4 linked regions of the Drosophila melanogaster genome follow. The protein of the gene in region 1 interacts with the protein of each later gene in a pairwise test. Each region holds a gene or a part of one and is shown on either strand. Other genes may lie near its edges.

What was found.
Region 2: the proteins of smal (region 1) and mRpS5 interact in a two-hybrid assay, tested with the Drosophila melanogaster proteins (one large-scale study listed by BioGRID).
Region 3: the proteins of smal (region 1) and e(r) interact in a two-hybrid assay, tested with the Drosophila melanogaster proteins (one large-scale study listed by BioGRID).
Region 4: the proteins of smal (region 1) and spt4 interact in a two-hybrid assay, tested with the Drosophila melanogaster proteins (one large-scale study listed by BioGRID).

The regions. Positions count from the first base shown.
Region 1 is NT_033779.5:6,176,130-6,184,095, forward strand, and holds the start of smal (smoke alarm), read left to right. Parts: upstream 1-3,003; 5' UTR 3,004-3,570; intron 3,571-7,966.
Region 2 is NT_037436.4:24,534,002-24,544,964, reverse strand, and holds mRpS5 (mitochondrial ribosomal protein S5), read right to left. Parts: upstream 7,730-10,963; 5' UTR 7,652-7,729; intron 7,603-7,651; exon of another isoform or gene 7,568-7,602; 5' UTR 7,491-7,567; coding exon 7,349-7,490; intron 7,055-7,348; coding exon of another isoform or gene 7,053-7,054; exon of another isoform or gene 6,830-7,052; intron 2,556-6,829; coding exon 1,474-2,555; 3' UTR 1,431-1,473; downstream 1-1,430.
Region 3 is NC_004354.4:8,901,830-8,909,284, forward strand, and holds e(r) (enhancer of rudimentary), read right to left. Parts: upstream 4,420-7,455; 5' UTR 4,280-4,419; intron 4,162-4,279; exon of another isoform or gene 3,940-4,161; intron 3,760-3,939; exon of another isoform or gene 3,676-3,759; intron 3,556-3,675; 5' UTR 3,550-3,555; coding exon 3,235-3,549; 3' UTR 2,315-3,234; downstream 1-2,314. Other genes in the region: Rbm13 (RNA-binding motif protein 13), read left to right, coding at 51-97, 169-982, 1,373-1,528.
Region 4 is NT_033778.4:12,628,961-12,634,787, forward strand, and holds spt4 (spt4), read left to right. Parts: upstream 1-4,628; 5' UTR 4,629-4,716; coding exon 4,717-4,785; intron 4,786-4,846; coding exon 4,847-5,009; intron 5,010-5,075; coding exon 5,076-5,194; 3' UTR 5,195-5,212; downstream 5,213-5,827. Other genes in the region: muskelin, read right to left, coding at 68-312, 368-497, 560-716, 769-1,088, 1,142-1,360, 1,424-2,025, 2,082-2,220, 2,303-2,645 and 2 more; CG33792 (uncharacterized protein), read left to right, coding at 3,714-3,782, 3,836-3,994, 4,045-4,494; Mvk (mevalonate kinase), read right to left, coding at 5,294-5,827. UniProt on the Drosophila melanogaster protein: Component of the DRB sensitivity-inducing factor complex (DSIF complex), which regulates transcription elongation by RNA polymerase II.

The sequences.
Region 1 (7,966 bases):
ATGGATGGACGGGATGGCCACCGGCAGTGTTCTCGCCAGATTGGAGCAGAGTGAGTTATTAAAATCTGCTTAGAAACGTAGTTTATGGAACTTTGCTTGGAAGAGTCCTTCGGCCATTTAGAGTGTGCCCGGAATTAGATTTCAGTTTTGGATCCTCATTTAGTCAGCTGCTTATTTAATGCATGTATTTATGATTTCATTTACTATTTATTTATTTATTTATTGATATCAAAGTACTACTATATAATTCTTGCCAAACCGATATGAACTTTTTTCAGTGCACTCCGTCAATATGATGAATATAGAATCTGAATATGGGCAGGCATCGGCTGTCGAAGTTGGGCCAAGACAAGCTATAGCTGTGGCAGGCAACCCGTCACTCACCCACCCACCCATTCACTTATTCGCTCATTCACCCATTCATTCATTCACTCATTCACCCATTCCCGGGCCATCATTTGCCAAAGCCTCGCAGCAGTAACAATTGATATGCGTGTACGTGAGCTGAATGGCGAGCCTCCTCGCCGGAGGGGCAATTGAATCGATGTGCGCGGAGTGCGGCAGTGGCTCCATTGGGGAGTGGGACGGATTAGGGCAAACTTGTGAGCCAAGTCAGTGGAAACTTTGGCAGTTGGCGGGCGGGGGATTGGACCGAGATGGTAGCCTTAAAGTGTATCAGGCGGAATGGAAAACTTCTGCTCCTGGCCCACTACGACCGACGTTAGAACGCCGTGCGGGAGTTGGGCGGCTGGTTCACTGCTTCCTGCAGGAAACGCCAAATGTGTCGCCCATGTCTATTCTTATCAATTAGCCATTTGTCATTTCCGAGTGCGCAAACAAACGGCCGACAGCCGGAGCATTGCCAACTTCAATCCATAACTCAGTCGCAGTCCGGCAAAAGCCGTTGGGCATGCGCTGTCTGTCAGGCGGCTTGTTCGCCTACCCGGCAGTCAAACAAATCGGCGTATATATATATGGTTATGAACAGGAATTTACACAAAAATGCAATCAGCGCGGCTGATAAATTTACAAACTTCGTCCGAAGAATACAGAGTGGCACGCTGTCGCGTTATCATAAGCAAATACTTACATTGCATGAACGAGGACTCAAGGAACTTATCAGTTCGATTCATGGATACTATCACAGCGTAAACCAAATGGCGTATGTTTGCTTGTTATATTTGGCTATCAGTCCAGATGCATTGGAATGAATTCTTCATCAGGATCAACCGTCGTGTCAACAGCTATCGTTCTTGCACAATAGATAAAATACAGTAATGGGTATCTGATAGAATTTTTAATCTTCGAAAGCAGTCCATCGAGAATGTCAGTATCTATAAATACTTTATGGAGTGGGAAAGGTCTGGGACAATAAACAAATGTGGCAAAAGATACTATGCCAGTATCGCAGCATGGGGTTGATGTATTCACAGAGTCCTTGAAGGCTATGTAAATATTTACTCGTGATAACGCAACATTTGCTTGTTCTATCTATGTATGTATTTTGTATATCTATTAGCAGCGCTGAATGCATTTTTGTGTAAATTCCTGATCATAACCATTTGGCCGCCGCTCATCCGCTCGTCCGCTGATTTCTTTGACTGCCGGGCAGGCGAACAAGCCGTTTGACAGACAGCGCATGCCCAACGGCTTTGGCCGGAATGGGTATGAGTTATGGTTGGAAGTTGGCAATGCTTCTGCTGTCTGCTGTTTGTTTGTACACTCGGATGTGACAAATGGCCAATTGATAGGAACATGCAAAGAGTCTATCGAATAAAACTACGTACAAAGTTAAATTGACTACAAGACAGAATGTTTGATTTGCTGGAGTTGTCCTGTCAATAACATTTACATTAATCTTGCAGAATATTTGTATATATTTTTAAATTAATATCCAATTCATAGCTTTCTGGGTGTCTGTAATCATAAAATAGAAGACAAAAAACATGTTTTTTTTTTTTAACTAAGAAAACAGACAAAGAGACAGAAGAAGTACTGCTTTCATAAACAGTCACCATATATGATACAAATTGGTTACGGTTTCCAGATAACGCCTTTCCAAACGCTGTTCGCTTTTCGATAGGCGATCTGGCCCGGAGCGATATCAGTTGATTAGCGGCGATCCACTCGAGGAATTCGTTGTGGGCCCCTCGAAATTGTGTCACCGAGTCAAACATTCGAAAGTGGCGAAGAACAAAGGGTCGGATCAACTGGTGAGACCAATCAATCAACCCACAACCTCTGCGATACAATCTACAAGTGCGTAGCTATAAATCCCCATGCCCCACGAAAACCGTAGAGTTCGTAAATCATACATGTCCATATGATATGGTGCACCAATGTGACAAGATCGCATTTCTCTGCTGGAAATTATGACAAGTTGTATGTGCGATTTCGGCTTAATGCCGGCGTCAATCATTGGAAATTCATCAGAGGCCGCGATTGGCGGCGGTCCGCCATTTCCAATTTGGACTGCAAGGCGGATTCGCCGGAAAAAGCGAGCGAAAGGAAAAGTCGGGGAGGGTAAAAACAAATCAACAGTTCGAATTCGCTCTTGTTTTGTTCCACATTCGCCGCAGACGGAAATCTCTTATACGAGCCGGAAGAGAGCGGAAAAACTCTATCGGATTTGGAGTTTCTCGGCGATTTTCACAGAGCACAGGTGAAGTGCCTGGGCCTGGGCAGGTAAATTCAACTCCATTGTGGATAATTTTACTGAGAATTGAAAAACTTAGTTTTTAGCGCAGCATATACAATATAAACTATACTGTAGCTTAAATGATAAGTTTTAAGGAAACAAAAACATAGAAACAACTCCAAATTATGATTTAAATGTTAATTTGATAATATAAATCCTTGCAGGTCCTTTACAGCGCTCTCCACACATAAACTTTGTAAACAGTTCCACCGACGAGCGAACAGAGTCCACAAAAGAGAAGCGCTCGCTCTCTTAGCATCCACACTTACATGCAACGGAGTGGTGCGCTGCACGTTACATTCAATCGGATTCAATCGCTCGTCGACCTTCGTGCCGCGCGTTACAAGAGTCGCAGTCGCTGTCGCAGTCCGCCGTCTCAGTCTCAGTTTGTGCCCCCAGTCTCAATCCAGCTCTCGTGACAAGAAGAACAGAACGCCTTGGCCACTGGCAACGCGGTCGCGAATCAACGCAGTTACCCATCTCAGGCTTAATCGGCTGGCAGCCAATCGCCAAGAGATCCGACAGATACGGATACGCAATCCGCGCAGCGCGAGTGCAGAGATACGAATTGGTCAGGAATAAGATACGGTGCAAGTGGCACCCAAGATGCGGCAATTGTGCACCTGCGGCCGCCAGCAGCGTGCGGCAAAGTGTGTGAAATGTGCTACCTGAGAAAATGCCCACGGAGTGCTCAAACATATCGAAACAAACCAGCAGATAGAGTATCTTTTGCTGCCCCAGTGAACAACAGTGCTTGAAATTTTAGTAGAGAAATCGTTGTTTTTTGCTACAAACTAAAGTGCAAACGGAATACAATCAATATACACCTTAAGTCAACGCAAAGGCTAATTCAAAACTCTTGGAATATTTAGGTGAGTTGAGAGTGAAGAAAGGCCTAACTTGAAAACAATCAGTGCTCAATGCTCAAAGCAATCATGTCAATAAACAGGATTTCCCCATAGAGACTTTGCAATGCATAAATAAATATTGAGTTGCAAACAATCAATTAGTGCGACAAAAACAAGTTTATGTCAATTACTAACTAAATAATTCATTTATCCGAAAAGAAACCAGAAGAATATTGGCCCAATCAAATGTATCTCATCAAGGCGCATTCCAGAGATCAAAAGATATCATTTCCAACCCGTTCTCCCCATTTCTTACGGTGGCTGTCCCCTTGCCTCATTAATTAAACACAAATTAAGAAAGAGCCAAGCTGTCAACATCTGGGGCTAATCAAACTAACCTGCTGTATTTTATAAATAAGAAGCGAAGAAGAAAAGCGGCGGCAGGTCGTAAAACGCTAAGATACTGCCCTTATCTCCTAAAGAAAGATCTTTCTCCGAACACTTTGTGCCTCCGACGGCTGTTGCACACAGATTCTTATCTCGCAGATGCAGTTATGTATCTAGATATTCCGCAGTACAACCTCAACCTCGAGTCTTTGGCAACTTCACACTCCGCTAGACGCGCAACGAGGCCCCTGGATTTCATAATTTTCCCGCTGTTCTGCGGGGTAATTAAGTAGAAGTATGTTTGGCAATTAAAGTTCCAGAGACCTCGCTTTCGCTTTTTCCCCCCGCAATCATCAGCTTTTGTAAATAACTCGAGTTATTTTTCTTGCTCACTTGGGATGGTTTAGAAATTTAAGATTGAGATTGGGCATCCGATGGGTAGCGATTACCGCGAGCTGCGAAGATGCAGCCGCAATCGCGCATGCATAATTAATTTCGTGTAAAAATCATAATTACACCAATTAAAATTTGTGTAAACAAGTTGGCAGCAGGCGGGCGAGTCCCTCAATCTGCCCCAAGCGCCGTTTGGGGCGCAATCATTATGATAATACCGCTGAAAAAACTTTTCGTGGTCGATTGCGAGGGGAACTCTTTATTGCCATTGTAGAAAAAGTTGGTGGGCCCAGGCGGAATTGAGTTGGCTATATTATGGTAATGAGACGTTTGAGTATGCCTCCAATGAACAACAGATTTGCCGCAGATTTGCCCAATCTGCTTTAAACTGCGCCTAAAACCCATAATTCGATGTGCGTGAAAGAATTTAAAGCACCGAAGTTCATAGATGCATCCACATAGCTACCATTAACAGGTTGTATTCAATATTTTATTCAAATCTAACTAAAATACTAAGACAGCAAAGTGATAAAATTGATTAGCAATGAAATTATGAAATGCAATAATCGCTAGTTTTATTTCATTGCCACTGAATCCGAAAAATACGTTATTCATTCAAACGTTGCGTTGAATAAAATGTGAAATATGTTTGTGGAATTAAAAAAGGTGTATAAAACTATATTTATAAATATACAAAGTGTGCAGCTTGGAAATTCATGGGAATTATTATGAATTTATTTTGTACATAAACACACATCTCTTTCATTTACCTGCAACCATCTACCAACGAAATGAAAATGTGTATCTCAATTTTTGGGGGGAAAATATTTTCTTTTGTCAGCTGGGATTACGATGGAAATGGGGCAACAATATTTACCATGTTCTTCTGCAATTTTAATAAGGATCCATTTAAACAGCATTGATTAAACTTTGTTTTCATTAAAATCTAAACAAAGCCCATTCATGCAATGTCAAAAATAAATAATAAAATGTCTAATTAGACCATTAAATCCGATGGCAATATAACAGCCAGCTAGTCGCATTTGAACTATTTAAGTTTAATTTGAAATGCCAAGGTATATTTCTTCTTTAAATAAGTAAAATTCCACCGACGTGCGGCAATTTATATTAGTGTCTTCTTCAACGAATTCAACTTCCATTTAACCTCATTCTGTACACATCGCATCCCCCAGGTCATTTTTCAGGGGCTGGCAAACACAACAGTCAACAAAATTTATACCCAAGAAGTGTCATTCTCGTGTGCATTTCGGGCTTTTTTTTTGCCGCTGGTTCGACGAGATCGTGTCGCTGCCCACATGGCTGCCACCGAATTGCTGGCGGAGACTCCAACTCCTCCGCGTCCCCTAATTAATTAGCATCTAACTAAGAATAATGTTTCCTGCGGCCCTCGACTGTCATAACTTGGCCGCAAGTTTATTTGTTTGGCTCGCCAACCGAAGGCGGCGCACAAAAGACATAGCCACCATTCCGTGAGATACAGATACAAGTACACAGATACAGATACAGATACGGGGGAAAACTGGAGGCACAGATGCCAAGACGGCGCACAGGTGCCACATTTTCTTCGATTGCAGGGGTATAAATGCCGCCAGGAGCACTAATTCGTGGCTGCCACTCCGCATTTTTGTTTGTTAGTTTCGTTTGGCTGGGTTTTTATGGCCAGTGTTGGTTTTTTTTTTTAGTTTTTATACACTGGCGTTCTTGTGTTAACTTGTAAAATAATTACTGACGCCGTTGTCTAGTACTTGTGAGAAAAAAAACGTTGAGTGTTTCGGCAGCTCAAAGTGCCCATAAATATCCGCATCCGCAGCTGAGAATTTCCAATGAAATGATTTCAAATGAAATGACTTGGCGCCAGCTCCATTCCCTTAAAATCTGTTATGTGCTTGCCACATTTGTTGTTTCGTCTTGGAAGCTCAGAGACCTCAACTTGAGGTTTTCAGCAGTTTCGTTTCCTTTTGGGTTTTTGCTCTGCTGCGGCGCTTAATTAGTTCAGAAAAAGTTGAGTGCGTTAAAGTATCTCGAATATTTCAAGCTGTCAGGAGTTTGGCGATTGGACAGCAAGGAGGAAAGCTGATGGAAAGAAATTGAAATGGAATTTAATGGTAATTGCTGGGAATGGACGATAGATTGTGGCTGGATCAAAGTTGCCCTCTGTGGTTCTCAACCCAGTATCTTCGATCCAGATAGCGTTCTCACACTTTCCCTTTCAGCCAAACAGCCAAACTCACGAGCGAACCCTTTTCCTCAAGTCGGACCACACATCCATTAAGATTTCCTGCTTGGCTTCCTTTCGATAGTGGTGACCCTTATCTGGGCCCCTTCTGAACACATTCTCCTCCTACTCCTATATATATTTTATGCAAATGTCACCGGGTGTGCCCCCTAGATGTGCCTTCTACGGCGAGGATTTCGTCGAGCTAATTAAGTTTCGGTTACAGTTCACTGCGCAAAACGGCGATCGCTGCATATGAAATGTGTATTTGAAATACTGAATTGGCCCTCTGATGCGCGGCGGAAATGAATCGCCGCTCATCAACTTGACGACGAATTCCCGCATGTGTGATCACTGAATAGGGCAGTCTTATATGCATTATGAGAGGCCTGTGTCTCCCCGTCGATTTGTCGGAGTCACTGAAGCAAGTCGCTGCCGTTTGCTCATCTCGAAAATATACATCGTCGATTGCGGACATGGATCCATCCAAACATTATACGCATCACAAGACAATGTAGCGTCATTAGCCCTGCCTTGGACCCAGCCCTATTTCCACTTCCAGTTTCTCGGTGCAAACAAAAAAAGAAACGCAAGGCAGCCCAACCCACAGAACCACCGAACCACCGAAATGCGGGAGGTCTCAGCTCAGATACAAATGATTTGGCTCGGTAATTAGGCTCTAAGTTGCCAAATACACAAATCGAGGCAACATATGCATCGCAAATGGAATCATTTGTAAGTGTCCACTCCTGTAATCGCTGACAAAGCTTTGTCATACATGCAACGTAATTCTTGTCTTGGCCAGTCAACACGTTCTGATACCAAATGCTGGGTGTGTTCCCGTTTTGTAGACCTCATTTTCCCGACTGCAGGACAGATCAACCCTGTGCCATCTATGGGTCCGGTCCGCTTCCCAGGAGAATTCATTCCATCGAGGGCCACACGTCAGGTGTCGACAATGTTCAAAGTAAACCTTGTCATTAAGGAGTTGGGGGCAAAACGACGAGGGTTGCTAATAAATGGGCAACATGTTTGCTTAATTAGAGCACAGCCAGGTTTACTGGGTTAAGAGCCAAATGTTGTTGCTCGCCGCAGCGGAAGGGTTCGGCATGGGAAAGGCATGGCAACCGAGGGATAAGAGCAAACTTAAGTCACTCCAGATGTAATGGAGCTGAAAAAACCCATCATGGGAATAAAAAAATAATTGATTTTCCCCTTTTCGAGGGTAGCGAATTGGTTTAGACAAAAAAAAAAAAATGCCATTAAGAATACAAATGGTGAGTTATGAACTCAATACATTTTGAATCGATTAATGCGCAATGATAGTGAAAGTGCATCTCTATTGCGAAATATAAGTTCTTTGTGACATTAATATAGCCACATACCTCTCCACTGCTCTGCTGT
Region 2 (10,963 bases), on another chromosome or scaffold:
TGGGCATTTTCATCTTCTGAAAAGATGATGACGTCATCGACGTAAACGTAGGAGAACTTGCCGATCTTCTCTCGCAGAATATCGTCAATTATCCTCGGGAAGATGCTTGCAGCATTCCTGAGTCCGAATGGCAATCTTCGGAACTCATACTTCCCTCCGTTCACTGAGAATGCCGTTTTCTCGCGGTTGCATTCGGCGAGCGTGATCTGGTGATACCCAGACTTCAGATCGAGTGTCGTGTACCTGGTCTTGCCGAGATTCCCCAATATCATTGAGATATTTGGCATGGGGTATCTATCTGGTACCGTCCTTTCGTTCAGTTTGCGGAAGTCAAGTACCAAACGCATTTTTTAGTTGCCCGCCTCGTCGGTGCCCTTTTTGTCTACGACCCATATTGGGTTATTGTAAAGGGACTTCGACTCTTGGATTATGCAATTTTTCAGCAGTTCCTGAATTTTTTTTTGGCCGTGGCTCTATAGGTGGCTCCAGGCTCTCTCGAATTTTTGTTAGAGAGCGAAGAGCGCTACAGCGAACAGCTCTTTTCTACGCATACAGTGATAGCAGAAAACTTTATGTGTGCACACGTATGCTCATGCATTGTAAATTTGACAAAATATGCCCTTCACCTTAGAAGTTCTTAGACTTTAAATCTGTATTATTTTTGATCAATTGGCACCATGCGAAAAATTCTTGTTTGCATTGCCTTAACGTTATTATTATTTGAAAATAGATTAGAAATAGCCAAATCTATGTACATACCATCACAAAATAAATTTCAAAAATGACTTTATATAATAGAATATTTGTCATTAGAGTATCCAGCTTGCGGCGTGTGAAAAATTAATAAGGCAATGATTGTTGAGTGCTTGTGGCCGCACTTCGTGCCTCAAGATATGACCAAAACAAAGACACTAGAATAATTCTAGCGCCGGTATCGGGTAGGAAAGTGGAGAGGGGCAACAATAAGAAGCTCGAGAGGGCTGTGTTGCGTTGCATTTGTCCCACTACTTTTTAATTGCATAGTAAACAATAAAATGAATTTCAAACAATTTGGGCAGATCTGTTATTTGGCTTAAAAATCTTTACTAACATACAGTGTCATTATAAAATTTAACAAATGAAAACTAATTTTGGTACAAAAATTATAGTTCCCAGAGTGGGTAATTAACTTTATGAAATCAATAAACATAAAACAATCTTACAATTTTGTTAAATAATGAGACAGCTTTTTGGGCAAAGCAACAACTAATTGTTTTTAATACTCAGTAATAAATGTAAGATAAAAACTTAAAAAATTCTTACATAATAAATTCGTAAAAAAAATTTTAGGTACTATGAGTATAATTAATTAAAGTTGTACTTTGGATTACCGAGGCATTTTTGTTGGTCTATACCTCTATACCTTTATTTTTCCATGTAAAATAAACTTTAATAATATTACATTTTTATTTAACAGTTTTAATATTTCATAAATTAATCATAAGCATTAACTAGCTTGTGTAGCCGAACATTAACTTGGTTCCGAAATCGCTCCTTTTTAAATTGATGCAAGTCATGTCCTTTGCTATAAACATAAAATGGTACTGTGCCTTTTCGCTGTAAAACTATTTGATTTCCTAATGTGAAATGCATATAGTCAATTTCTTGGGTGTTCTGCGTTAGAGTTGAATTAGGAAAAGGCATTCCTTTTACATCAATGAATCTATTTCTTGTCTTTTGCAGTTGAACAATGTTTGAATTTGTTTCGTTAGCAATATACTGATAGGACCTTTGCGTCATCAGACCAATAAAAAATGCCTTTGCAATATTCTGGATATTCGTAGACCCCTCAATTTTGGCATATAAATCCTTGATACCTATAACTTTACAAATTGTCTGAATTGCCCGGTGACAGACTAAGCCGTATCCATCAGGTTTCTGAAAACAAAAAATTTTTGTTTTTCCGAAATCTGTACGAAAGTCATGAAAAATTGTTCTATTTTCACAAAGGCTTATATTGATTAGTTTTTGTCCTGCTCGGTTCTTTGATTTTCGAAGGGCCGTACGAACTTCTGGCGCTTTAGCGGTAGCGAATCCTGCCAAACCATTACCATTTCCCGTGACTGAAAGAACGGAATATCTTCGTTTTCTTCCCATATTTCCTTTCATAATAAAAACAATTTTGTTTTCTAAAACTCTAGTATCAAATGACACAAACTCTTCGTCGCCAACAGGATCAGGAGGTCCAATGCTTCGGCCGGGCATTTTACTTCCAGACCAACCTCGGTCTATTGGATTTAGTTTCATCAATTTAAAACTTCCCATTGAATCGCGTAATTTTAAAATACCATTTTCTCTATCTAAATTCTCATTGAGTTTCTGCTGATTAATTAACTCGTTTCCTCGTATAAGAGGTGAATTCAATCCAGGCCATATGCGACCGCATTTTCCGAATCCGATAGATTGCCCTTTGTTAAGATCCTTTGCAACTTTTTTTCCACTTCCTTTCCCACGGCCTCTTTTTTTTCCAGCATTGCTAACCGCAGTTACTCCGCGCCAAATGTCTTCAGCAGGTACTAAAAGTAAACAAAAAGGTTTTAATTAGTTGAGTAAAATTAAATTATTTGCTTTCAAAATATTATTTCTAATATATTATAAATAAATCAAAGTTGGACTTTCTACGACTTCCTAAAGTCCGATTTGGATTTTTTTCTGTTGGCTTCGTATTTTCTGGGAACAAAAATTTGGCTATGTGTAAATTCGAGAAAATCTTTAAAAAAAAAACGCAAAATAGAAAAAATTTGTTACAAACGTCAACACATTCGTTAGTTTAATATTTGACATCGGAACATTTTCTTATGAAACAATATTTCTTTGCTGTTTTTGATAAAAATTGAACGAGTCTTAGAGAAAACATAAAAAAAGAGACTTGTTATTGTTGTTTTCGCGGATTTGTGATATATTTGTGTTTTAATACGTGTGTGTTTTTTAAAAGTATTGCTAATTGAGGTTAGCCGTAAATCGATTTCGAGTTTTCGGGTTTTTTATTATCTGTTTTTGTGCATTCAACCGGCACCGTGGCTTGATTGATTGTTAAAATTATTTCTAACTGCTTTTTTTACAGCGATTTTTCAACGTCTTTGTCTTAGTGAAATATTGCCGCTCCACCGACGTTCAAATCGTGCAATTCGAAGTAGAACAGTAGACTGATGAGCTGCGTAAATAGCATCGAAAAGATATCCGTTCAAGAAAAAAACAATAATGTGGGGAGAGGACCGTTCTGCTGCAATTGATGATCAAGAAAAAGAAAACAGACCATATTACCACCATAATATCCTCCACCAGAGCCATTGCAATCTTTTGTCTGGTGATGGTCCAGTTTGAACACATTTCTTCCCTTACATTCAAAAGTATAATTGCATCCAAACGACTTCTTTTGGCGCTACCAATATTATTGATGTTAATTTTATGCCAATTGAGAACGTAATTTCTATTTCGAATTTTGCTGCAATGGATGATTGTTAGACACAAACATCACAATCATATAACAACGAGATATAATTTTTTTGATTATAGCCAGACTAGCCAGTACGCGTTATTTTATAGGAACTCGGTACTCTTAGACTAGAATACTATGACGAAGTAAAAAAACAATCATAAGAAATTATCCTGCAGAGGCAGCTGTTTTAAATGAGCACTTAAAAAAGGATGCATTACATTATTATGCAAGAAAGCTAACTCAACCCAGAGCCTGCAGAATGTAAATTATTCAGGAGCAGGACCCTGTTGATAATGATTACCGGTCCCTAGCTGAGGAAAATGCTCAAGCATATGAAGATGATGTGAGCAATGATTCCTGTAATTTTTTACGATTACCACCTTAAAAAATTTCTTTCCCTTTGAAAAATCTTTTCAGGTTCCGTCCATCAATGGGGGCAAAAAAATGTCCGATCGAATTGTTCAATAAAACAACCTTTTTCTTCATATAACTAACTCTTAAAGATTTTGACGGTATAGTGGGACTTAACCTGCTTATGCACGTTGACGGATAACTTGATTTAAGTAACGGTATCATTAGGTTTAAAGGCGACACCCGGTTGCTTAACTTCAAAACGTTTCCCAATGTAAATTTCACACAGGTCGATGACTCTGACGTACCTTTGTCTATAAAAGAATCCTTCGATATCATGCTCAAATCTAGATCAAATGCATTTGAGGACCCAAACGAGTCGGTACCCTACAATATAAACACTGGCTACCATACGAACATATGATGAGCCAGGGTAGTACGGGTTATACATATACCCTACGGGTGTAGGTGACTTTGTTAATTCAGAAGTTAATCAACTTCTAGAAAACGACATCAATCGACCATCAAGATCGCCCTACAATAACCCTATTTGGGTTGTTGATAAAAAAAGGTGTCGATGAATTCGGTCATAAAAAGAAAAGAATGGTCATAGATCAGGAAACTTATTTTCCTAATTCTTTTTTTTTTAATTCCTAATTTTTTCCAAAAAAAAAAGAGGACCACAAGAAGCAGGTTTTAAAAACCTTGATGAAGTTAACATGAAAGTGTCTCAGGAAAAATCCAAGTTCTTTGAAAATAATGTGGACTATCTGGGATTTACTGTGTCCAGAGGTGGAATTCAAACTTCGCAAGATAAGGTACAAGCCTTACAAAATTTTCAAATCCCTTGAACCCTTTTTGCACTTAGATCATATCTAGGGCTACCTAATTATTATTATTATCAAGGGATTCGCCAGACCCCTAACGGACGTCTTAAAGGGCGAAAATTGCAAAATAAGTGCTAATCACTCAAGGAGAGTGATTATTGAACTAACGAAGATGAACCTCTGAAGATGTCGTTTTGAGATATCCAGATAAAAAAACCCTTTGACCTAACAACAAATGCCTCGGGGTATGATATATAGCAGTGCTATCCCAAGAAGGTCGCCCCATTACACTTATTTCTCGGGAACTACGGAGTAACGAACAAAATCTCGCAACAAATTTAAAAAATTTAAGAAATTACCTGTATGGTGTGAGAAACTTCAACATCTATACAGATCATCACCCGCTGATAAGATGACTACTGGCTGATTTGTCAGTAGTCTCTACAGTGTAGGTCAGGGATTCTTTTCTATGGACCTACACTGATTTGATTTGTCAGTAGTCTCTATAGTGTAGGTCAGCGATTCTTTGCTATGGACATACACTATAGAGACTACTGACAAATCAGTGAACTGCTTCAGGAATCAGTTAATTATTGAGGAATCTGATTTCCTATCTGTTAGAACCTTCGTGCTATTTCAGAATGGATCTCTAATCGGAGCACTCTTCTCCAAACACTAAAAGACGAAGTAAATTCAGGGATCGTCGAAGGAATCCATTGCGAACTACCGATCCTTGCTTTTAAACAACACACACTGATCGAACTTTTCTCGTCAACAAAATTTCGATACTCAAAGTATTTGGTAACTCCCAGTTAAATCGGAGCAAAGTGAAAAAGTACAGGCAAAACACAACCGCGCCCACCGAGCGGCACAGGAAAATGTTAAGCAAATAATGCGTGACTATTTTTTTCCTAACATGAAATTAACAGCAAATTGTTGCAAATTGTAAGGTCTGCTCGAGGGCTAAGTTTGAATGACATCCAAGAAATGCCAATCACCACCTACGCAGGAGAACGTTAACACATTGATGTATTTTCTACACACAAAAATACTTCCTAACGTGTGTTGATAAATTCTCAAAGTGTGCTGTTTCTTGACAGTCTCAAAAGTGTGTAAACTTGGAATTTGTTGTTTATTTTCTTGTATATTTAATATTTTTAATTTGTTTTTGTGATTTATAGATAAAATAAATATTGTTTAATTATATTTTATAAAAAAATTGCGTTTAATTAAGCAAAAAACTCTTAATTTTTAGCTTTAAAGTCAAAAATTCAACTTATTTTACAGTGTGTATGATCATGCATTTTAAATTTGACAAAATATGCCCTTCACCTTAGAAGTTCTTAGACTTTAAATCTATATTATTTTTAATCAATTGCCACCACGCGAAAAATTCTTGTTTTGCATTGCCTTAACGTTATTATTATTTAAATATAGCTTAGAAATAGTAATAGCCGAATCATAATATCACAAAATAAATTTCAAAAATTACTTTTTATTCGAATTTTTGTCAATAGAGTGTTCAGCATGCGACAATGATTGTTGAGTGCTTGTGTCCGCACTTCGTGCCTCAAGATATGACTTGCAATAAACAGTTTATTTTATAAATTTTTATTTTCTACAACGTATTATTTTTATGAAATATTTATTTCTCTTATGTCTTCTTTTTGGAAAATTTAACATTTAACTAGTTACAGTAGTTATAATAATTTCCTTTGTATTTGCTTTAATTATTAAGTATATTTATGAAGTCATTTGACTTAATATGAATATGATGTATGTAAATTATCCATTTTTAATAGATTCGGTTGTTCAGTTTCAGTTTTTTTTGTCTATTCCAATTTGATATATTTAAAAAGTGCGCACAAGCAAGCAAATTCTATTTTTAGATTTCTTACGCTCTCAGCGTAAGCAAGCGGACAGAGAGCAAATTAAACCGTCACTAAAAAAGTGGCTGCATAGTGCCAAACCAATGTATGAGCGTTACTTATCTTGTTATTCTAGTGTCTTTGGCTAGTGAAAGTGCAAACTAGAAATTTCAACATATTCAGACATCTCAAAAAATTGAGAAAATGACAAATAAAATGAAAACAAATTTAAAGTTTTGGCCGGTAAGTGGGCGTTAAAGGAGCATGGCCAAAAGGTTTTTTTTATACCGAGAAAAAATTTGCAAGTCAAATAATACGTTTTTTGTGGGGTTTTCAAATATTTATAAGAAAATACAGAGACATTTTCAAGACTGAAATATAAAGAAAAACTGTAAATATTTTTCAAAAGTATGGTCGCAGTAGTTTTGGGCGGATTGTAAGCGTGGAAAAAGTTTTTTGTCCATGGCCATATCGACTCGGCTAGTGACCCGATACTTCTAAATACGAAGGGTCATTATTACTGCAAAGTCCTTTAAATATGAGGAAAAAATAATATTTGTAAAAATACACGAAAATAATAAATCATTGTTGTTTAAATAAAAAATACATAATGATTCTGACATTTTTCTTTTAAAGGCTTTGAAAGATTCAAATTACACCTCGTGGAAATAATTTCTGACCCACTGTATTTCACTGTAAATCAGCCAGAAAAAGAATTCCTTGTTTCATTTTATTTGCACCATTACTACTACCTAGAACCATTTTTATCCAATGGCAGATAGAAACATTTCTGCTCTTTTATTGAATTAAAACATTTTACTTACATTTGTTAAAGAAGCTGGTATTACGTAAACCAATGTAACCTGGTAAAATGGGTTCATGTGAAGATAACAAGCTTTGGTTCAAAATAAAAATATTTCTGCTACAAGCTTGATTGAAGAGACGACGGATCAATGTTTGACTCATATTTACATATGAATTTATTAAGACGTTTTGATACTGAGGATATTTATGAGGTTAATACAGCAACACTAGCAGTAACGCTACAAAAAAAGACCAAATTAAAACAATTATAAGACGTGCGTCATGCTTTAAGACCCGTCCAGACTAGTCCTTCATAGTTATACCCGTTACTCCTAGAGTAAAAGTACGTAACAGACAGAAGGAAACGTTTCCGACCATATATATTCTTGATCAGAATTAATAGACGAGTGGATCCGTCTGTCCGTCTCTATGAACGTCGAGCTACCAGGAACGACTATTTGCATCGCTTTAGTCGAGTTCGATGACTATCAGTTACCCGTTACTCAGATCAAAAGAAATTGGGAAAATAGCAAATAATATAAGAACAAATTTATTTTTTTCAAATGTGTGGATGTGTTTTGACCAGTTAGTGGCCGTATAATGTGGCGTTGCCAAAAGGTGTTTATACTGATAGAAATTGACAAGAGAGATAAAACATTTTTTTGTGGTATTGTTGGCGTTCTAAGCATTTATTAGCAAAACGATATTCATTTACGAGACTGAAATATAATTGAAAAATCTAAATATCTAGTTTGGTCGCTGTAGTTTTGGGCGCATTGTGCGCGTGGCAAAAGTTTTTTGTCATATTGATAGAAATTAACAAAACTGATAAAAAAAACTTAATATATGTCAGAACATTATCCTTATGTGTAAGCGTAACACCATCAGTTAACAATGTTGCGCAGCGTCTACGTATATCTATAGACCTCAAATTTCTAGCTTTACTAGTTCCTTAGATTTCGATATCTATACGGACCATATATGGCCATATCGACTCGGCTAGTGACCCGGTACTTCTAAAAATAAAAGGTCATTGCACTACTGCAAACTCCCTGATATATGAGGAAAAAATAATATTTGTAAAAATACACGAAGTTAATAAATCATTATTGTCAATATAAACAATAAATGCAGATCCTTATATTTTTCTTCGTTAATATGTTATAGGTTTTAAAAGTTTTAAATTTCCCCCTGTTTAAGTCAGTCAGCCAAAAGTTTCATTTGTTAAATTTTATTTGTTCTTTTACTTTATGATTGAAACATTTGACTTACATTTGTTAAAAAAGTTGGTATTACGCAAGCGAATGTAATTTCTTAAAAGGGGTTCATTAGAAGATAACAAGCCTTGATTATTAAAAAAAAATGTTTCTGCGATAAGATAAAAGCCGTGTATAAATATAAAACACTAAGTGTAAGCTGTGTATAAATATAAAATACTAGGTGACACTAATATCGATAGAATTAATTGTATATTATTTGGCTGACTTTAAAGTGCGCGCGAGAATAGAGCTGGAGAATCATCGATGGTCGGCACTATCGATGGTTTTTTAAGAAAACATCGATAGTATGGATAGTTAAAAAGAAAACAAAAATAAAGGAACTATAATTTAACGTGAACCGATGTTTATATACCCTTGCAAATTAAAAAATATATATTACAGTAGCCCTTTAGAAAAATGCAGAAATACATGCACAGGAATTAAAATGCATTTTTAAACAAAAACGCTTTATTTGCTTCAATGCAAACTATTATTTGAATTAACGCAGTATTCAAAATATTTAGTAATAACAAAATAATGGTTTTTTATATTCATAATAAGACATATTCTTTCATATTCTGTTGAACTGGCCGGAATGCACAGGCACTTTTTACAAAGTTTGGTTATTGGCTTCAGACTCTCACTGTTTGCCTGAAAAGGGATAAATTCATTAATATTTAATTTAAAAAGTAAAAATGATATTCTTACAATCCAATAAGCAGTTAAAAGAAATGCCCTTGCACAGAAATTACCACTTCAATGCGAATCAAATACTTTGTGAATGTATAAAATAGCATTAGTTATTAAGAAATTGTTTGAGGAACACGCAAAGCGGAATGGATTCGTTTTAATTTGTGCAAAGGATCAATTTTTACATTTCGATTTATCGGGCATCAAATATGCAAATTGTTAAAATGGTGTTGGCATTTTGATCGGATCAGACATCGGATCGACCAGACACGGTCGAAGGGAAGCAGTCAGGAAGAAGCACTTCTCATTGCACATCCGCAGGCAGGCGCTGGCCGATGACTTCTTAGCAAACTCAACTATGCCCTCGCCCATATGCTTGCCAGAATCGTCGACGGTGATGCTGGCCCTCTCGATGGGACCAAAGATTTCGAAGGACTTGTACAGCAGCTCGTTGGAAACGAACGGTGTGAGATTTCTCACCTGCAAAATGACATTCGGTGCGAATCGTACACCATTCGCATCGATCCGTCCAGGGCGCGCTTAGCCTTCTCGGCATTAGGATGATAGTTTAAAGGTGGTTTAAAGGTGGGCCCAGAAATGCTGCAAAACCGCTGGGAAATGAAGAAGTCTTCACAGCCGCGCGGACCACCGTCTCCATCGCCACCACCACCCATATTGGTGCTGTTCATCGTGCCACCTGCACCTTCGCAAGGCGTGGACCACTACGGTTTCGGTTGTCACGCTGCTGGTTCTGCGGACCTCCGGAGAAACCGCCACCTTGATTGTTACCAGCATTGCGACCTCTGAATCCTGGATCATTTCCCTAATTTCCGGCTCCTCCTTGATTTCCTTGGCCTCCTTAATTGCCTGCACCTCCTTGATATTCTGGTCCACCTTGATTTCTTTGACCATGGACTTGATTGATTGATTTTGGTTTTGTCCTTGCCGTTGATTTTGGCCCATGTTGGCGTTCTGATTCGCTTGATTTTGGCCAGAAGCTGCAGTTGCCGGTTCATTGTTCTTAGGAAGTGCCGCCTTTGATGTTTCGTTATTGGGCTTTTGCTATATTTGTGTTATACATTTAAATGAGTACAATATGCAATTGATATGTGAGCCACATCTGCAGTGTCGTCATTCAATCCAGTTACACCATTAGAATACAAACTGAACAGATATAACATCGATTCAATCGGCTCTACAGGCGTGCCTCCCTATTTAACTTCCCCCCCGAAAAATGTAAAGAATACCTAATATTTGTATACAATTAAGTGCCCGGGATAATCTAATCAACTATATCGAATTTAGATAACTTACATTTGAATTGTTGTTGCCTGGAAAAGTCCGGTTTTGGTTTCCAGCGCGATTGTTTTTGCGATAGCGGTTTCCAGCGAACCCACCCTTGTTGTTTGCAAAATTCTTATTTTAATTGGCGCCACCACCACCGCCCGTTACACCACCATTTTGATTCTGGGCATTTGGACCACCGAATCGTTGCTTCTTTTCAGCCGGACATACGTCCGCGAAATCATTTTGATTTTGTGCATTATGCTTGCCGAGATTTTTGTTGGCCTTCTAGTTTCCCCGCTGCTGTCGCTGCGCTTCAACTTGCTCAGAGCGTACGATTGTTTTGTTGTATTCTGTGTAAATAATAATTATTATTTTTAATCTGGAGACCCTAGAGTTTTA
Region 3 (7,455 bases), on another chromosome or scaffold:
GAATATGCACATTTGTTGGTGTCCTAATCAGATTATTATCAATTTGCCAGGTGGTCTGGAGCATCATCAACAAGTCCTTCTGTTCGCACAAAGTGAAGTGAGTTGAAATGCAGTTAATTATAATTATGTAGAAAATTTATGTATTCAATGGCAATCTAAATCACACAGAACCGACACACGCACCTTCTGCCGCCATGAGTACAATCTCACGGGTCTGTGCACACGCAGAACGTGTCCGCTGGCCAATTCACAATATGCCACCGTTCGCGAGGAGAAGGGCATCATCTATTTGTTCATCAAGACGGCGGAGAGAGCGCATATGCCGAGCAAATTGTGGGAGAGGATCAAGTTGTCCAGAAACTTCGAGAAGGCCATCGAACAGATCAACGAGAATTTGGTTTTCTGGCCCAAATACATGATCGCCAAGAATAAGCAGCGTTTCCTCAAGATCACCCAATATCTGATACGAATGCGTCGTCTGAAGTTGCGCCGCCAGAAGCTCATTGTGCCGCTATCGACGAAGATCGAACGGCGGGAGGCGCGGCGCGAGGAGAAGGCCTTGGTGGCCGCCAAGATCGACAATCACATCGAGAAGGCGCTGATGGATCGTCTGAAGAATGGCACCTATCGCGACATCTACAACTTTTCGCAGACCGCTTTCAACAAGGCTCTGGAGGCGGAACGCGTGGACGAGGATGATGAGGAGGAGCTAGACGACGAAGACGAGAATGAGGAGCAGCTGGAGCGCGAAATGGAGGTGGACGGCGACGATTCACGCGAAGCTGAGGAAGTACAGAGATCCCTGCTCGACGAGGAGTTCGTCGAGGCAGATACGGACGATGAGGAGGAGGATGATGATGATGATGATGATGATGACGAGGACGACTACGACAGCGATTCCGGCAAGCGGGAAGAGGTCGAGGTGGGCAGCGATTTCGAGGAGTCCGACGAGGATGACGATGCGGATGCAGATGATATTGAGGTAGTGTTTCTGGTCATGTATCAGGCTTTTCTTTTTTATTTTGTTGGCAGTTTTCTGGAGCATTTAACGATTTCCAAATCCTTTTTCAATGAATTTCTTTTAATATTGAAAATTCTGAGTATGTAAATAGTTGGCAATTGCTTAAATCCTGCCACCTTCTTCCGAAATTACCATAATTAGAAATAGCAAACGAGTTCTGCCCGCTTGGAGCTTGGAGAATAAAGCTTTCCGAGCGCCGTTCGCCGCTTTTCATTCAGTTGCGTCGGTTTCCATTCAGTGCGCGCTAACTAACAGCTCCAGAAAATTGCCAAAAAAAAGAAAACTAAAACGAAACAAAACTAAATTCCAATTGCCAAACCGAACTTAAAACGAACAATTGCATTCTAACAGGAGACCAAAGTGCCAGCCAAGAAAACCGCCAGCAAAGCGAAGAAGGACAAGAAATCGCCGGCGGGCAACAGTCGACGCAGCCGCTCGAAGCCCAAACTGCAGCTGGAGTACGAGTATGAGGTGGAGAAGGAGGCACAGCGGCAGATGCGCCATTAGCCAGGTCCACAATATATATTTCTCCCCCCCCCCCATGCTCAATCCACTTAGCTGTTAACGCTTATTGTTTAGCCGGTTAAGAATAGTATTTTACATAAAAAAGAAAGAAAAAAAAACAAAACTAGACAAGTGCAACACTATATGACCGAAAAATGCATCTCATGCAGGATGCACTTCATCTGCATCCCATTCGCTTTGCTTTCTGGCCAAAAAGCGAGGCTGGCTAACTGACATTGAAAGTGGGCGGTGCGGGGCGGTGTGGCGACAATGCAGTGTTTAAAACCAGTTTTGAAAAATATTCTAAAAAAAAAAACTATGCACCATATTCGACGCAGCTGTAGCGCTATTGCATACCCTGTAAAAAGCGCGGAGTTGCGTGGCAAGCAAACTACTTTAAATAGGAGAAATTCTTTTTTTTTTTTTTTTGAAAATATATATACATATTTTTGTAATAAACTGTACAGTTTGCTGTAGCAAATGCTTTTTTCACAAACAAATATATTTGTCTGAATAATGAGAAATCTAGTGATCATTAATATTCAGCAAATATAATGGGTAAACTATAAACACTATGTTTATTGCTAGTTAACGCTAGTAAGCAGCATCCACAAGTCGACACTAAATGTGCATATATACATATATATATATATATATATATATATTTAACAAAATGCTGTCGCGGAGCTAATTAAATATCGCACGCCAAGTTCAATGCAGTGCGGCCAAGCGATTCAGCGGCGGTCCAAGTTCGTTATCCGATTGAATATCTGGCGGGGGTACAACCCACAAACCCCTACCCCTCCCCCCTCACCACACACACAACAACCAGCATCTCAAGGTCATTTCGCATCTGCGACCAAAGGTTCTGTTTTGCTTAAAACAAGCCGTTAAAACGCCACAAAGCCCATCGGTGTGCAAAATCAGCGGGCTAAAAGTTGTTGTTTAACTAAGTTCAAATGATAAAGGGGGGGGGGGGGAATCAGTAGTTTACAAATATGTTTATATATGCTCAGTGTGTCCTGATGTGTTAGTTTATTATTCGATAGATTGCAAAGACTTAAGCTAGCACACACGGCAAAACATACAAAAAAAAAATGCACACTTGCAAATTTGCCATTCGGTTTTACAAACAAACAAACATACAGTTCGCTATCGATAAGAACAACCGTCACCTGTGGCTGCCGCACAAAAAAACATTGAAACACACAAAAACACACACAGTTGTCAGTTGGGTGTATATACAGTATATATATATATATACGCCTATATATATATTTATATATATATATATATATTAGTACGTTTAAAGTAAGTTTTCCATTTCTAAGTTATACAGTTTATCGTTCTCTTTGTGTTCCTTTTCCTTTTTTGCATTGCGTTATGTTGCAAAAAAAAGTTGCTGTCATTTGGCGATCTAGTCGGTAGCAGCAAGTCTCCAATGGAATCGATGCCCCACCACTCCATCATCATCTTCTTCTTCTTCCTCATCTTGTTGGTGTTATTGGTGTTATGGTGTTGTGGCCGTTGCGGATGCTGTTCCAAGCGCTGTTGCATGTATCCTCGTATTGTTGTTGTTGTTGTAGTTGCTATTGCACGCATTGTTGCATACATCAACGTGTTGTTGTCGTTAGTGTTGCACGCATTGATGCATGCATCATCGTGTTATTTGGTTTTATATGTATGTATCTTGTCGCATCGCCGTCCCTTTAGGTATTGGAACTAAATGCCGCCTGACGGAGCAGCACATAGATCTTCTCCTTGATCCAATCCTTATTGTAGGGCGCATAGGTATTGGTGCTCTTCTGGTAAACCATGCAGCTAATGTCCACCATTGTGTCGATGAAATCGAATAGCTGGCTAATGTCATACGTAATGGTCGGAGTGTTTGGATTGCGGCGCTTCAGGTGCTCCTCGTAGATCTTGCACACGCCCTCCATGCACTCGTTGACGCTCTCGTAGTCACAGTAAGTGCGGGTCTCCGGACGAGCACCCGGCTGTACCAATAGGATGGTGTGCGACATGGTGATCTGCAAGGCAAAAATGGAACATTAATGTTATTGGCGGTGATCTATGTACTCAAGCGATATGTATGTATGTATGTTACTAGTGTGCGTTTCATTACATTACGTTTCATCTTCATCACTTACATCCTTTTTTTTAACAAGCGTTTTTTCTATAGCAAAGTCCGAAAGATTCCGAGACTCTCGAAGTTGAAGTTTACTTCGCCAGCTCTGCAAAAATTGTGCATAAATATTTATTAGAAGCATAGAGAGCTGTCAGCAAAAAAAAAAAAGACAAAAAAAAAAGGAAAAGAACAAAAACGAAAGAGATGGAAGAGATATGCTGTTGCCGCATGCAACGCATCGCCCCATCTCGCTCGCGCTCTCGCCGCAACACCAATACACGCGCACCACACATGCTGGCCAGCAGAACGCTCTTTGATTTTCCAATTTGCAACTGGGAAATAGACTAAGATGGCACTTCCAGCATGGAAAACGAGTAATTTGTGTGTGAAGCGAATGTTGGCAATGGAGAAATGCGTACATTTGTACAAGATAATGCACGCTTATGCCGCTTCACTAAAACACAAACATTCGGAAGCGCGAACAGACACGCACACACATGTACAAGGAGTAACGGCCGCCGCGTGTGTGTAACTAACTGTATGCAATCACTTGTTTTTCTTCCTTTTCACCGATTTTTCTCGAATTTTAAATAATTCCCATGTCTCCCGTTTAGTGTTCAACTTACCCGTTCGAACGCCGGACTATATGGACTATGATAATATGCTGATTCAGTAAAGAGATTCGGTAAAATCAGCGCTTGATTCGTTTTTTTTTATTTTGCCAGTTCTATGGGTTTTGAAGAGGAGGCTGAAGCTAGAGATGAGCGCTTCGCTGCGTGCCTCGCCGTGACAAAATAATCGAAAGATATCGATTAATACTAACATCTTTTATTTGATATACATTGTTTAATAATATTTACCAAATTAAATGACAATTGTGATTTTTTATACTTAATTGTATCAATGTATACTTGCATTTCAATTTGTATATGTATTTGATTCCATATTATGTTCATTCACTTTTTTATTGAAAAGCACACTTTATGTATATTACGCCTTTAGGTATAAAGCATGTTTTTCAATGCATATTTTCATTTCATTTGGCGTAATTCATTCCATATTTAGTCTTCAGATTTTTTAAATAAAATTAACTAAAGCTTTTAACATATACTCATCATAGTAATACATTACAATAACTACGGAAATTATTTATTTATTATTTTTATTTTATATATTTATAAAAAAATTATAATTATAATGTCAAATTAAAGTGGATTGCATTATTTATTTAGGTTCATTTTATTTTGTTATTACATATAAATATTAGGTATTACGTTTATTTAAGTTAGAATAAAATTAACGCCCATCAACAAATTATGGTCATTAAAGTCTTTATGAAGTAAACTTAATGTACAATCATTTTCACTTAAAGTGCATATTAAAAAGCATATTTTTACATTTTTTAGTATTGTATTTAATATAAAGTCAAAAGTTACTTTTAATGAAACAAAACTATCGCCCATCGCCAGCTCCGCAGTCTGGCCACTGTTCTCACTGTTCCCAGTGCTGCCAGACAGCGGCAATCGAAGATCCGAGTGCCCACCAGCTGTTTGATCTCAATTGGACCAATTGGAAGAGCGCGGTGTCGCGGGCAGCGCAGTCGAGCGGCGGCAGAGCGATCGGCAAAGAAATCAACAACAAAAAGCAAAATCTCGTCTCAACATTATTTACGTGCTTTTTGTTTTAGTGAAAAGTGAAGGCGCAGCCGCAGCAGCCCGTGTTTCGCGCGTTCCCATTAATTTGTTGTTATTTTCAATTGTGCAAGTGGCGTTCGTGTCTCTCTTTTTTTTTTTTTGTTTTTTCCTGTGTGTTTGTGTGCGTCCTAATTGAAAGAAAATGAAGTGAAAAGAAGCAAACAAATTGGGAAATAGCAACGTAAACAAATCAAATAATGAATGAAGTAGAAGAGCAGCGAAGTTAAATGAAACCCAGGCAGTAAATTGAAAAGCAAAAAAGCCCTGCGAAAATAAGATGATAAAGGCTGTGAAACGGGGAAACCCGTTAAAGTAGCACCGAAAAGGCAATAGTCAAATAAGAAAACACAAAATCCAACCAACGCGACGCACGCGTGTCCAATTTGTCGCCTCTGCTTCGTCTCTCTGCTTCCTCTTCACTGTTCTGCGCACACCGTTGCACGATCATTCATGTGTGGGTGTTGTATCTGTGTTTCTTGTGCATTCTATTTGATTTGTGTTGTTGCTCATCTCTTATCGCTGAAATCTCGAAATCTCAATGTTCTCGGCGACCAATGGCAAAATCAAGGTAAAAAAAAAAACGTCCACTTAATAGTTTTCTTAACTTACCAAATGGTGTCTTGGCTACAGAGAAACTTATGCTTTGAGTTGAAACTGAAATATGTACAATATTACTGTTTCCGTTAGTTTTATTTTAAAATTGATAAGCCATTCTATATTTCTCCTGACTGCGCATTGTTTAAATATTATACTAATTATCGTATCGTATCAATATCTTATCTGATGTTTGCACGAGATTTGTTGCGGTGTATTTGATTTAATATAAAACTATATCAGTAAATGTTTGATATACGTTAAAATACAACAAATATTGTACATTTTTTACAGTTACCTCCGGAAGATGCTGTGCTGGTGACGTCACCGTTGCGCTGCCTCTTCAACGGCCCCTTTCGCGATCTCCACTTCAACGTCACCGATCACCGCATTATTCCCGTCCACGATGTCGTTTTCCTCGACGATTTCGAACGCAACGTGAAGCCTTTGATTTACCGCCCCGTGACGTCAGAGGTCGCTGCCTCTGCCAACGTCGATGAGGAGGCAACGCCGGCAGAGGAGGAGCAGCGCAGCTTCATTCCAATCAGCAGGTGAGTCACATCCAACAAGTGCGACAGAGATGGCAATCAATCGATCGTGGCCTTGAACTTGATTCCATTTCGTTAGTCCCCAATTCCAATTGGAAGTGAGAGAGAGAGTGGAAGCAGAAAAGGCAGGAGAGCAAACCAATTAGAATTTCCAAATGGAGATATCAAGTTTTTGTAAATGGAGAAATCGACTTTATTTCAATTTTGTGCATTCAAACTGTGATTTTTATTTTAATTTTAATCATTTAGTTACAATTAATCACAATTAGGTTACAATTATCGCATCTAAGCATCTGTAATAATTTGTCTTGTTTAACGCTCGTTTTTGAAAAGTGTTTGCTTTACGGCGCCGATAAGTAAAGAACATTCTCAACTGATAAGAACGTGGGCGCCCCTGATGTGTTTGAAACATCATCGTTTTTATCGTCAAAAGTGTGCAAAAGCTGTGTATCTATTATAAACGACTTTGTAGGCGTATTGTTATTTGTTTTAAGGTGCGTCGCTAATTTCCCACTACCCGGATGAGAAATATAAATTTTTTAACAACCAGATAGTTTCATATTTATAATGACAGTTAAACAGCACTCATGTTTTAAACAATCATTCTTAAATCTGTATATCTGTACAATTCCATTGGTTTAATTGCTTTTAATATGGAATGTCATACCTCGTTGAGCTCGTAATTAAATTTCCAATTAAACTGTGTTCAAAAATTGGAATTTTAATTTTTTCAATTTTTTTCCAAATTTTGATGATGTTACCCCTTACAAAAAATGCGAAAATTTCTTAAAAAATTAATTTTTTCAAATACGTCAAAAAGTGATAGGGCTGTTTGGCATTGGTAATTAGCTGCCCAAAACAGTTATTCTTTCAGCTTTATGATCATTTTTAGCCAAGTTATGATTAAAATGCCAATCAAAAATATTTCAATTTTTGACAAAACCCGTTTTTACTATTTTTTGTCAT
Region 4 (5,827 bases), on another chromosome or scaffold:
ACACTTAATAAGCTAAATATAATCTTGGATGGGGGCTCGTATTGAATCGGTTTTGGCACGTTAACATTTACATGACCACAAAGTCGCTAAGGTTGCGTTCAGGTTGGACCATGCTCGGTGGCATCAATTGCACCAGTTTATTGAACAGGAAAGCTCGCTTATTCTTCAGCTCGGGTGTGCAATCCGTCCGCGCCCTTTTGGTGCAGGAGGAGGAGCTCGGACTAGATGCAGTCTCCGAGATGCCAGAAGAGATCATGCTTTCGTTCGACTCCAGGGAGAGGTTCTCGGTAGCGGGTCCATCAGCCAGTTCCTCTGTAAAGATACAAGTTGAATTATCCAATACGAATTCATTATTGACTAATAAAACCTTTGATCTTTGCCGATACATCGGAATCCGTTTCGAGATCGTCTGCATCAGCACACAACGCAGGTGTGTTGCATTCTCTGTCAAGGTTACCATCATGGTTTTTGAAGAGTAAAGACGCAAGCTTGTGGAACTAAAATAATCAACTCAGATATAAGAAAGCTACAAAAATTGAAGTTCTTTTTTTAGACATACATTATTCAACTGCTCCGCATCGCTGTGATCAATGACATCGGCTATATGATGCCGTAAGTATTGCATTGCCTTTAAGGGATCTTGGCGCGTCATCTCCTCATAGCGCAGTTTACGCACCAAAAACCGACAATGCTTCAGGATCTCCTCTCGTTTGGGTCTAAAATATAATAAAATTATCATCGATTACATTCAGCTAGTAAATTACATACTTTTCCAGACATAAAAGCCAAAAATCATCAAGTCTCAGCTGCTGCTGCTGGCAGATTCCAGGATTTCCGCCAAACAAATAATGGGTATTGGTCACATCATCATAGACCAGCTGGTGGGCATAGCGAGGGCACGGCTCTAAGGTTCCATCACCCTTGCTAGCGCCCAAAATATTCATGTTGTTAATTGAGTTGGCATCCTGGCCACTGTGGCGACAGTAATATATCCTCGACCACTTGTGATTGCGCAAGGAATAAACCCAAAAGGAGTTTGATGCATCAATATGCTGTATATCACGACGATCCTTCACCTTACTTAGGCTCTAAAAACGAAGAAGTTAAATACGAACGCCGAAATAATGTCAGAACTACCTACAGAAAAAATATAAATTTCATCACGTTCACAGTCAATGGTGGCACGTAAAGTATAACCGGAGGAAGGTTCGAATTTGGCTTCGTTGCCAGCGATGGTTCCGTGATGCGGGTGCTCCTTGTTGAGAACCGATATGGCCTGGGTGTCTACATCGTAGCTAAGAAACTCATCCAGATCCTCCTTCCCTCGTTGTCCGCCGTATATGTAAAGTTTTCGATGTTTCTATAATAGCGCGTACAAATACATATATCTGTATACATAGCTTATAGAGTATAATTAACCTACGTTATGGAAAACCATGCAGTGTGTGATCCTGGACTTGATGGACATCACATCTGCCAGGGAAGCGCTGGCATGGTGGCAGTCCACCAGAATCTGAGCCCAGGTGTTCGTTGCTATGTGATAGGAGAACAGCCCCGAATATTCTGGTTCTATCGCTCCCGTGGCATTGACACTGCGAGGCGTGAGTATTTTGCCTCCGAAAACGTAAATTGTACGCTTATCGGTATCCATGCACATCTGGTGATCATAGACAAGCTGAGGACCACCCACTTGGCTGGTGTCATCGCATATTTGCATCCAGTTGCCAGCCCTCGTATCGTAAAGGTAAAAGTCGCTCTTTATATAATCCGAAGTTCGTATCGAGTTATCCAGGTAACGACCAAGCATGAATACATTTTCGCTGATGGGATCAAAGACCATTTTGTGACAGGATCGCGGTGTGGGTCCATTGGAAAGCTCTGACCTTTCGCACAGTAGCGTCCACTGATCATCTTCGATATTGAATACCCAAAGGTCGCTCAAGTCCTGGTAGCCATCCCAGCCGCCGTAGAGATAAATAAGTCTCCTTTTGGCATCCACCACCAGCTGGTGACCACCGCGATTGCCTGAAATAGAGGAAGTTAACTGCTAATGATTGCTATTTGGAGGCAAAAATAGTTACCAGGCTTTATGTCGCTTTCGGTATGCTTCATATGCCAGCTGTGCTTGTAGTCCTGCTTATGTAAATACTCATCCATTAGGCCCTCGTCTATGCACTCGACTATAAAGCGTTCAGCCTTCTCAAAGTCGCCCTGCAAAACCTAAGAACCAGTTTTTTTTATGAATTTAATACCAAACTTCAAAGGTTTATAGCATGATCTATGCTGGGGATTCCTTTCTTACCAGACACTTATGCAGTTCGCTGATCAGCGGGTGCTCCAGTTGCACATTCGTTTGCTCCTGGAGCGCCCCAAAGGCACTCAAATAGCCCTGCTGGCGGAAGTGCTTCAGACACAGCTTGATGATCTCCACCTCGCGCAGCGAGTTGTAGTTCTTCATGCGAGCACTGGTGTACATGGGGTCGTCCTGGCCGTGCAGCTCCACGTACCAAATGCTGAAGTTGAACGACGGACCCCAGGAGAGCAGGGGCACGATCTTGAGGTACAGTATTGGTAGATTTTCCGAACCGTCTTCGGTCAGGCAGCGCAGGTTGAATACTTCTGGCACGTTATCGTTTTTTAGGCCACTGGGAAAAATATTTGAGTTATATTAAATAATGCATTTCAGAAAACCAGCTGAATGACCTACCCCTCCAGCAGCAAAACCATGTGCTCATCGTCCAAGCCGCCGTAAACACGGAATTTCTTGATGTTGCACACATGCGATTTCTCGAACTTGCCAAACTTGATTTTCTTCACAATGGCGGGACGGCGCAGCTTCAAGGTGAGAAATTGCGGCGGGCTGTTCGTGTAGGCGGACCACCTAGATGTTTGGTCGTTGGGACAGTCCACCAGGACGTTTCTACGAATGGAAATTAAAAAGATGCCCGTTTAACAATTACGATATGCGAGGCATCCATTTTCTTTTCCAGATTAGTACTTACTCAGGCAGATAGTTTGGCGAGTAGCTGGAGTAACGGTAGATCTCAAAGTTCAGGCGCTCGGAAAGCGAAAAAGGCTTTTGGCTGCTGGTATTCGTGCCGGAGACCGGGTTTAAAGATGGATTAAGGGCCGAGGACAGCGCCACCGATCCGTGCGAGCTGTTGTCCGTGGGACTGGATGTCGAGGAGGAGGACATGGCGAGTTCTATTCCAACGATCCTAGCGGTAAAAGATTAACGGAGCTCGGCTGTAGCTGTTATTACCGTTCTTTCTTGTCCGTACTTTTGTGCTTCCCTGTTCCACACCCAAAACAACCGCGTAACAGCTGATCGCCAGGGGCGTAGCCGTTATCTCATCAGGGGGTCGATTAACCGATTGTCTTACATTACATTGGCAAACGGTTAGCATTTAACAACAATTAGCATTGTGTAAATAACCAATAGAATTAGGCTGTAAAATCAAAACAAGCAATCGACCTTTTCATTTTACGCTTTTTTACTTCCGAGCGATAGTGCATTTTTAACAAAAATTAATTTACGTTAAGCCGATTTTTTGGCTAAAGTGTAGATAAGTGTATCGTGGCGTATCGATTATTTATTTGAAAGCTGTTTGTTCATTCAACCGTGATACCTTTTTATCAAGTGTACAAAGTTATTAAAATGTAGTTAGCGTATGCTTTAAGTTGTTCGGTTGAAGTTATGTTTATTTGTTTCAATGATGGCAAAGTGGCTTGCTGTCTCTTGTGTGTACTTGGGCGTTTTATTATGCCTTCCAAATACCATTGTGCGTAAATAAGCCCGTATAAATACAGATTTCAAAAATATTTTAGTTTTTAGTTCTATTCCAATGGATACTTTTTCAAAATCAGAAAAACTGAGTGCATAGCAAACGGAGCATATTTCAGCAATGTCTCTTGCATTCTGAAGCCTGTAAACTGGACTCGATCGGTATTGAACATGGATGGTGACATAAAGGAGGCATTAACTGATATTAAGGTGAGAAGTTTCATTAATTTAAGTATTACAATAATAATGGAAATTTTCAGATGTCAGTAGAAGTGTTCTACAAGGATTCTTCGAATTTGTACAAGCCCTTCGCCGTTAAATTTAAATTTGATGTTTGCCAATTGTTAAAGAATAAAACGCAAAGTAATTTTCTGCAAAAATACGCTATTAGCCATTTGACGGAGTGGACTAATGTAAACCACAGTTGCCCATATAGGGTAAGCTTATGTATATATAATATAGTTAAATTTTCTCAATATATTGAATATATATATATGTTTCTAAAGGGTCATTTGATTGCGCGTAACTTTCGTTTGGACGAGGTCTCTCTGCCCATACTTCCAATTCAGGATTACAAAATTGCATTTAACTTTTCAGGAGCCAATCCAGGAATTCACTTGGGACTGGTTTTGATCTATTTTGAAATTCTAGAGGATTATTACAAGCAAAAAAAGAATAAGCCACTGCCCAAGCCGTTGAACTTTGTTTAAAATTCATATAGCTGCTAAGGAAATATACACTTTTAAAACACGTTTTAATACAAAGGTTAGCTTCGTGAAAATTCTTTTGACAATTTTTGTCGGGTGTAACCGGCGCCCATCGATATCGTAGATTCAAGAAAATTTTAGAGTACGGTCACTCTGTCAGTGTCGTGGCTTGGTTTTGCACGGATTTTGTATTTTTAGTTTTAAACCCATAATTGATAAGTAAATATGGCCTTTGACGCGATACCCAAGGATCTGCGAGGACTTCGCGCCTGCCTCGTTTGCTCCCTAGTGAAGGTGGGTTATATTTTGCCCAGACTCGACACACATTTTCATTGAAATCATTTATCGCCCGCAGAGTTTTGATCAATTTGAGACTGATGGCTGTGAAAACTGCGAGGAGTTCCTGCGAATGAAAAACAACAAGGACAATGTCTATGATCACACTAGCAACAACTTTGACGGAATTATTGCCCTAACTACGCCCACCGACTCCTGGGTGGCCAAGTGGCAAAGATTGTGTAAGGCCTGAATGACTTCCGTTCCAAAAGGGTATTACTGATATATTTGAAATCATTTTCCTTTAGCCCGCTTTACTCGTGGTATCTATGCCATTTCTGTATCCGGAACACTGCCGCAGTCTACCTTACGTGACATGAAGAATCGTGGAATTGTCTACAAATCTCGGGACAGAAGTCAACGATAAACAAACAGATTGCCGTACAAAATACATGTATAAATCTTTATTCTTTAATTTATAACAAAACCACGAATACATACAATAGCAATACAAAACGAAACCGCATCAGTCATCCAGCGAACTAACGCGCAATCCCTCGCCGCCGGCAGTCGTAACATGAACACCAAAACCCGCCGATTCGAGCTCCTCTTTAAGCTTCCAGTAGACCTCGTTGCACTCGTAGTTCTCTGGAAGCAGAACGATGACATAGCCACCTGCGCCGGCGCCCGTCAGCTTTGAAAAGAAGCCACGCTTAAAAGCGATGGTGAAGATTTGCTCCAGTTTCGGGTGCGACACTCCGATAGCCTTCAACAGATCATTGTTGATCTGGAACAGGCGTTCAAGTTGCTCGAATTTCGAGCTATCGTCTTGGGCGTTGCCAAAGCTTTCGTAGAGTGGAACGGCGGCGGCAACAAGCTCCTCGCAAGCCTGCCAAATGGCCTCGATGAGCTGCGGAAAGGCATCTCCCAGATGACGAACCTTGGCCACAATGTCGGCGGTGCTGCGACTCACACGACTGTCCACCAGCAGGATGTTTAGTGGTTTCTGGATCTTCAGCGACTGGAAGCCCTGGCCCTTGACATACCGCAACATTCCGCC